Callithrix jacchus: one gene and its partner. The protein of the gene in region 1 interacts with the protein of each later gene in a biochemical or structural test. Links are inferred from orthologs where the notes say so. Each region holds a gene or a part of one and is shown on either strand. Other genes may lie near its edges. The genes, in order: VDR and HR.

Region 1 (2,959 bases):
GGAGGGGGTGGGGAGAACAGCCAAGGAGGAGTGGAGTGCTGGCTCTCCTGGTGGGAGGTAAGGCACTGGCCAGGGGAGGACGAGGATGGCGGGTGCTTTCTGAAAGCCAGGGACAATTCAGTCCTGCTACATGGGTCCGTGGAAGGAGGACTTCCACCTCAACCAAGCCCTTAGATCCAGGCCGAGGAAATGTGGCTTAGTGACAGGAACAGTGGTGGCCACCATCACTATTCTTCTGTGAGGCTGCTTTTGTCTGTTTTTCCTCCTTGGGTCTCTCAGCAGGTGGGTTTGTGCCTGGGGCTCCAGTAATGGGAAGAAGGCCCATCTCACCACAGCTACTGCCCGTGAGAGTACAACCAGGGCAGTGGACGACAGTGGGCACCGAAGGTCAGGGTGGGACGACAGTGGGCACTGAAGGTCAGGGTGGGTGGGAGCTGTGGGTGGATTAGTTATCATGAGTAGGCAGGAGAGGGAGATCCCACCAGGCTCTGGACGTGGGGGCCTGGAGTGGGGGAAGGTGTGGGTGTTTCTGTCCCTGAGGAATGGATGCATTTCTCCTGCCTGTTCCCTTGACACCAGTCAGCAGCCACTTATGCAGGGGTGAGGGCATCTCTGGGCAAGGCCCTGCCTCCAGCCTCTGCCCTCTGCCCCCACTTGAGTTTCTTTGTCAAATACACAACAACTGCTCATGGCTGAGGTCTCCAGGGAACAGGGAACGGCCTGCAGGAAAGGGGTTGAGTTGGACAGGAAAGAGAATGGGCCGGGTGGACAGGGGCGGTGCCCGAGGTGGGGCTGAACCCCAGACGGGGGTGAGGAGGGCTGCTGAGTAGTTGCCAGTCCCGGGCCCAGCATGTGGCCCTGGAGGAGCGGCCCCACCCGGGCACCACCGCCGGCTGCCCTAGTCAGGAGATCTCACTGCCGAACACCTCCAGCACAAGGGGCGTGAGCTTCATGCTGCACTCGGGCTGGAAGGAGAGGCAGCGGTACTGCTTGGAGTGCTCCTCGTTGAGGCTGCGCAGGTCGGCCAGCTTCTGGATCATCTTGGCATAGAGCAGGTGGCTGCCTGGGGGCGGGTGGCGGCAGCGGATGTAGGTCTGTAGCGTGTTGGACAGGCGGTCCTGGATGGCCTCAATCAGCGCGGCGTCCTGCACCCCGGGACGATCTGTGGGCACGAGGTGGAGGAGAAGGCACAGCAGGTCTGAGGTGGGCCCCTCACTGCTCAGTCCCGCCACCTCCCACCCACACAGACACGCAATGGCAGCTCCCTCTAGGCCACCCCTCTGTGGCCGCTGACCGGTGATACCACCGCTCGGCCCCAAAGCCCTTCAGAGACTTCTCCTTGCCTTTAGGATCTAGTCCCAGGTCCTTCCATGGGCCCACCTGGCCCTGGCCCTGGCCCTGCCTGGCCTTGCTCCCTGTCCATGCTCCGTCCACTCCTCAGCTTCCCGATGTGCCCTGCTCTCTGGCCACCAGCCTTCACATCTGTGTTCCCTCTGCTTGGAACTGTGCTCTGCTATCTTTGCCAGACTCCTACTGATCCTTCAGGTAACAGCTTAAAAGGTCTTCCTCCAAAAGGCCATTCCTGGCCACACTGCCTCCATGGCCCAGACCACATCGGCTTCCCTCCTTCTAGTCTACCCCTCTGTGGTATCATTTCCTTGATTTTTAAAACCCATGCCATGTTAGGAATTAGTTGTTAGATAGCATTTCTTTAATGTTTCCTCCTAAGCTTCATGGGAGAGGGGCCTGTGTCCTGTTTGCTGCTGAATCCCAGCACCCAGTACCCAGCACAGAGCCTGGTACCTGATGGGTGCTCAGTAAACTGTTGCTAGGTGGATGAATGAATGAGTGAGTGAACGCTGCTGGGCAGGGGTATGGGGTCCACCTCCATTCTTGAGCCTCCAGTCCAGGAAAGCATCCCTGGCCAGAGGCCACTAGCTTGTCCCCTGAGCACAGCACAGGCTGAGGCAGGGCCGCCCCTCTTTGGACCTCTTTGGGGACCGACATGACGTCCCCAAGGTTACGGTAACTTCCTCTTGAGCCTTTTCTCCCCCTTCTCACCCCTAATAAGCAGAAGAGGCCAAGGATCACAGCACACTGCCTCCAGAATCAATCAGGTCAACTGTCCAGGCAGAATCATCTATCAGACTCCAGGGTTTTGTACCCTGCCCCTGAGAAACCTCAAATGACAGCAGTGTTGAGCCCGGTTCACACAAGAGTAGGGCCTGAGCATCGGGAACCTGCAGGAACCCGACTTATCTAGCTCCTCAGAATCCCCTGTGAATCGCCCCTAGTTCCTCAGAATCCTACCTGCAAACTCTGTAAGGCAAAGCCAAGGGCAGCAAGGGGCTCCTCAATGTCCACACACCACAGGGGTGCTGGAAGCCAGCACAATAGGCCCTTTCCTCTCTGCCTCTCTTTTTGCTACTTCTCCCTTCAGGTTGCCCAGCCGGCCCTCAGCAGCCCCTCACACTCCCCACTCCCCAGGTCCCCGAGCTCCTCCCTGCACGGCCCCATACCTGGGGAAACGATGCAGATGGCCATGAGCAGGACATGCTCCTCCTCATGCAAGTTCAGCTTCTTCAGCCCTACCTGGAACTTGAGGAGGGGCTCAATCAGCTCCAGGTTGTATCCTGCTGTGAGACACGATGGCCAGGTACTATGGGCAGAGCTGCGGAGCCACCCACCCACCTCCAGCCCCGATGGGCCAGACCCTCGCCCTTCTCTCCCTTCAGCCACCTGCCACGTGTCTGATTGGAGCCCAGACCCCAGGACGGGTGGAGCCGGAGCCTGGGAGCTGGAAGGGGCAGAGCTGAAGTCCAGGCATACCTTTGGTCACATCACTGACGCGATACTTGTAGTCTTGTTTGCCGCAGGTCCAGGACATGTCGTCTGTGGTGAAGGACTCATTGGAGCGCAACATGATGACCTCGATGGCACTGGACTTCAGCAGCACGAT
Region 2 (4,372 bases), on another chromosome or scaffold:
GTAAACAACCCCTACCAGCCTGCTCTGCCACAGAACTGGCCTCTGGGGGGAGGCCTGGGGTGGGCTGAATCGATGCCAACACGGCCCTAGTCCTGTCCAGTGCTAGCTGCTTTAGGCCCCCTCTCCCCACGACCCCACTCTTCTCAACTGGTAGAAGGCTCCAGGTCTTTGCTCATCCTTAGGAGGAAGGCTTCTGGCTCTTCAGGGCTCTCCTCTGTAGGGATAATGGTGTGACTGGGGACCAAGCTAGAGGTATCCAGAACCCATCACTTTCATGGGATGGGAAAGAGGGGGTACAGCTTTGGTCCCAGGCAGGCCAAGGAAGCCTTCCGAAGGGGCAGGGAGGCAGGGGAGCTGAGGGTGGGAGGTGGGTGCCTGAGGGGAAGGGAAGCACCCGTTGGGCGTGTGGGTTTCTGTGTGAGTCTGAATCTGTCTGTGTGTGTTTGAATCTGTCTGTTTGTGTCTGCGCTGGAACCACCCCCGCAGAGGAGCCGGGATGCTTCCTCGGGTGGAGGGTGCCCTGCTTTTCCATTTCCTCTCCTCCTCTCTGCGCTCTCCTGGGAGCCACTCCCATGGGCACCTCTCCAGCGCCGGGCCTGAAAGCACCAGGAACCCTGGGGATAAGCAGACCCTCAGAGACCCGGGTCTGGGGCCAGTGTTGGAGCTCATCCTGGCCCATGACCTCTCCAGACATTTGGCGAAATCAAGACCCTTAGACCAGGGACAGACCCAAGCCCAGGCCCTCCCAGAGGTCCTAGGCCACAACCCTTTGTGCCCTTGAACTCTGGAAGGGGTTTGGGAAGGGTTTGGGGTGGAAGATGGCAAAGAGCCGCTTGGCCAGGTGAGGATGAGGCAATACAGACACAGGCCAGTGGGGCGTGCCATGGGCCAGAGCTGGAGAGGACCAGGACCCAGTGGCCAGGCAGGCACAGTCCGGCTGGCGTGGGCCAGAGCGCCCATCACTGACCCGTGAGAACCCGACTGCCCTTGCCAGCTCTGGCGCTGCCCCCTCCCAGCCGCCCCACCCTAGCACCCTGGGGGGCACCCCGCCCACCGTGGCCTGGTCCGGCCCCTCCCGCCCTTTGCTCCAGTTTTCCGGGCTTGGCACCTATAGTGGGGGTGCCGCCCGCCTGCCAGGCTCCGGGGCCGGGCCCACGGGAGGGTGGGGCGGCTGGGAAGCTGGCACGCTGCCCCGGGGGAGCCTCTCTCGGCAGGCGCCCGGGTGCCGCGGGGGGGAGGGGGAACAAAGGGCTCATTCTCCCCGTGCGCAGCCGGTGGCATCGCCGGGGCGTTGGCGGAAGCCCCCGGGGCCCGGGAGGGGGCAGGCCCAGACGCGGCCGCCGAATCACGGGCTCCTGTTTCCCGCAGGGTGCTGGAGGAGGAAACCGGCGGAGCAGCTTCCCCACTCTCAGTTGCGCGTCTGGCGATGGCGATCAGAGGTCCTGCTGCGCTCTCCGCCGCGCTCTTCCTCCATTAGCCGCGCTGCGCGGTGCTGCGCCCTAGCCGGTGCCTCTCTCCTGGGTCCCGGGATCGGCCCCCATCCAGGCACGACCCCCTTCCCCGGCCCCTCGGCCTTTCCCCCCACTTGGCCATCTCCGACCCGGGGCGCGTGTTCCCCCCGGCCCGGCGCCTTCTCTCCCTCCGGGGGCACCCGCTCCCTAGCCCCGGCCCGGCCCTCCCCGCGGCGCAGCACGGAGTCTCGGCGTCCCATGGCGCAACCCACGGCCTCGGCCCAGAAGCTGGTGCGGCCGATCCGCGCCGTGTGCCGCATCCTGCAGATCCCGGAGTCCGACCCCTCCAACCTGCGGCCCTAGAGCGCCCCCGCCGCCCCGGGGGAAGGAGAGCGCGAGCGCGCTGAGCAGACCGAGCGGGAGAAAGCGTTCTTGCCCGCCGGCCGGGAGGCCCCGGAGACCGCCCATGGGGAGCAGGCGCCCAGTGCCGGCCACGACGACCGCCACCGCCCGGGCCGCGACTGGCCGGTGAAGCCCAGGTAAGCGACAGAAGCGCGTAGTTTGGGGACACTTGTGGCAAGGGTTTTCTGAGCCGAGTGTGGTGCCCGCAGGGAGTGAGCTCCCCAAACCCCTCTGGGTTGGGCCACCCATTCTGACACCTGAAAGTTAGGATGCCCGACAGGGCCAGACCACGGTGGAGCAGTGGCTCCAGAAAACCTGGGCGCCCTCTGCCACTGCTCCGTCACCTCCCGCCTGGGGCTTCCTCGAGCTGGTGGAGGAGACCGTGCCAAGAGAGCGCTGCCGCTCTAGTGCCACCTGTCATCCTGGTCCCTTGCACGCACGTTCAATTTTCCCTCCCTTGCCTCTCTCTGGGGCCCAGCCCGCTTTCCCCGCCTCCTTCCCTCCCCACTCCCCGCCGGGCTGAAGTTTCCAGCGGCGGTGGCGGCTACACTGGCACTGCTGGCTGGGCTAGGGCAGCTTGACCCATCCAGCTGAGGCTTCTTAGTCCCCCTCCCCTGTGCTGGCGCGCTGCTCTTCCCGCTGGGGGCCAGGGTGGAGATCCTAGCCCCGGGAGTTGTCCTGGGACTCTGCTTGAGAAGCCGAGAAACTGCAGAGCTCTGGGAAGAGGCTGACTCAGGGCCGCCCAGGTGTAGGGAGAGACACAGCCAGCAGCCCTGGCTGGCAGCCCTCCCCATGACTCCAGCCTGCCAGGCCCTCACTTCCCACAGCTACAAGCCTGGCTGGGGTTATGGGCTAGGGTCGGGCTAGTAGCACTCACAAAACCACGGATTGCAGGACGGGGAGAATCTTCTGAGATGTGACCCAAGCCTCAAGGGCACACTGAGGTCCAGAGGAGTGACATGACTTGTCCAAGGCCACACAGTACAGGACAGTCAAGGCCAGGATCCAGCCCTTTTCCAAGTCCAGTGCCCTCCCTTTCTGTCCTCCCTCATGGCTCGAGCAGGTTTCAAGCCCAGTGAGGCCAGGAGGTGTCCGACTAGCAATGGCAGCCTCTGCTGAGGGGTGCTGGCCCAGGTGGCATTTGGGGAAGAGGTGATATTCCCACACTGAAGGAGCAAGATGCGTCAGGCTGCATGTGAAGAGGCAGCATGGTGCCCAGCTGTGGGTTGGCACTTGCCTTACTGGTTTGAGTTGCCTTGTTTCTGCCAGGGCGGTGCCCACTCTGTGGCAGGCGGTAAGGTGCTTGGGGCATGTGCCCCAGAAGCTCATGCTTTGATGGTTATGCTCCAGGGACCCCCCCCACTCTGGGAGAGCCCCATGAGGGCAGGAGAGTGATGGAGAGTACGCCCAGCTTCCTGAAGGGCACCCCAACCTGGGAGAAGACGGCCCCAGAGAACGGCATCGTGAGACAGGAGCCAGGCACCCCACCTCAAGATGGCCTGCACCGTGGACCGCTGTGTCTGGGAGAGCCTGCTCCGTTTTGGAGGGGCGTCCTGAGCACCCCAGACTCCTGGCTTACCCCTGGCTTCCCACAGGGCACCAACGACAATCTCCAACTTGTGGAGGGTGAGAGCACCCAGAATGGGGAGAGGAAGGCCAGCTGGCTGGGCAGCAAAGAGGGACTGCGCTGGAAGGAGGCCATGCTTGCCCATCCACTGCCATTCTGCGGGCCAGCGTGCCCACCTCGCTGTGGCCCCTTGATGCCTGAACCTAGTGGTGGTCATCTCAAGAGTGACCCCGTAGCCTTCCGGCCCTGGCACTGCCCTTTCCTTCTGGAGACCAAGATCCTGGAGCGAGCCCCCTTCTGGGTGCCCACATGCTTGCCACCCTACCTAGTGTCTGGCCTGCCCCCAGAGCAGCCACGTGACTGGCCACTGGCCCCGCACCCCTGGGTATACTCCGGGGGCCAGCCCAAAGTGCCCTCTGCCTTCGGCTTAGGTGGCAAGGTGAGTTCAGGGGCAGAGAGGGTACCTGGGGCTCTGGCCTTGCCAAGTAGCTCGGGTGGTCCCCAAGCTGCCCTTCCACTGTGATAAAAAGGGAAGGCAGCACCAAGGTAGAGGTGTCCATCAGCTCGGAGCTGTCCCAGGTCCCACAGCCAACCCCAGCAAGCCTTCCCATGAGAAGCTCCATCTTTAAGCCTCCCCTCCCCTCAGGTCATTGCAGCCGCTGACTCACCCATTGTCTGCCCAGGATAAGGTCCTGGGAACTCTGGCCTTGGAATGTATGGCTTCTCCTGGGAGGAGATGGGCAGGCTGGCAAGGCCACTCTATCTGAGCGTAGGATGTGCAGGGGACCCCATGGCCCGTGTCTAGGGCACCTCCCCCATAGACTACTCCCACTCCCAGGGATGAGATTTTAAAAGACTTAAAACGCAGTATGGCACAGGACACCAAACAGCCTGAACACACCCGGGATGCCATTTGGCTGTGCCCGGCGTTCACCCTTTAGTGCTAGATTTC

The links.
Region 2: the proteins of VDR (region 1) and HR form a complex in vitro, tested with the Homo sapiens proteins (2 studies listed by BioGRID and IntAct). The link is inferred for Callithrix jacchus from reciprocal best matches to the Homo sapiens genes VDR and HR.

Annotation. Positions count from the first base shown.
Region 1 is NC_133510.1:2,140,019-2,142,977, forward strand, and holds part of VDR (vitamin D3 receptor), read right to left. Parts: coding exon 2,830-2,959; intron 2,637-2,829; coding exon 2,520-2,636; intron 1,163-2,519; coding exon 903-1,162; 3' UTR 1-902.
Region 2 is NC_133514.1:19,356,994-19,361,365, forward strand, and holds the start of HR (lysine-specific demethylase hairless), read left to right. Parts: upstream 1-1,410; 5' UTR 1,411-1,709; coding exon of another isoform or gene 1,710-1,814; 5' UTR 1,815-1,990; intron 1,991-3,203; 5' UTR 3,204-3,247; coding exon 3,248-3,859; intron 3,860-4,372. Other genes in the region: protein HRURF, read left to right, coding at 1,710-1,814. UniProt on the Homo sapiens protein: Histone demethylase that specifically demethylates both mono- and dimethylated 'Lys-9' of histone H3. May act as a transcription regulator controlling hair biology (via targeting of collagens), neural activity, and cell cycle.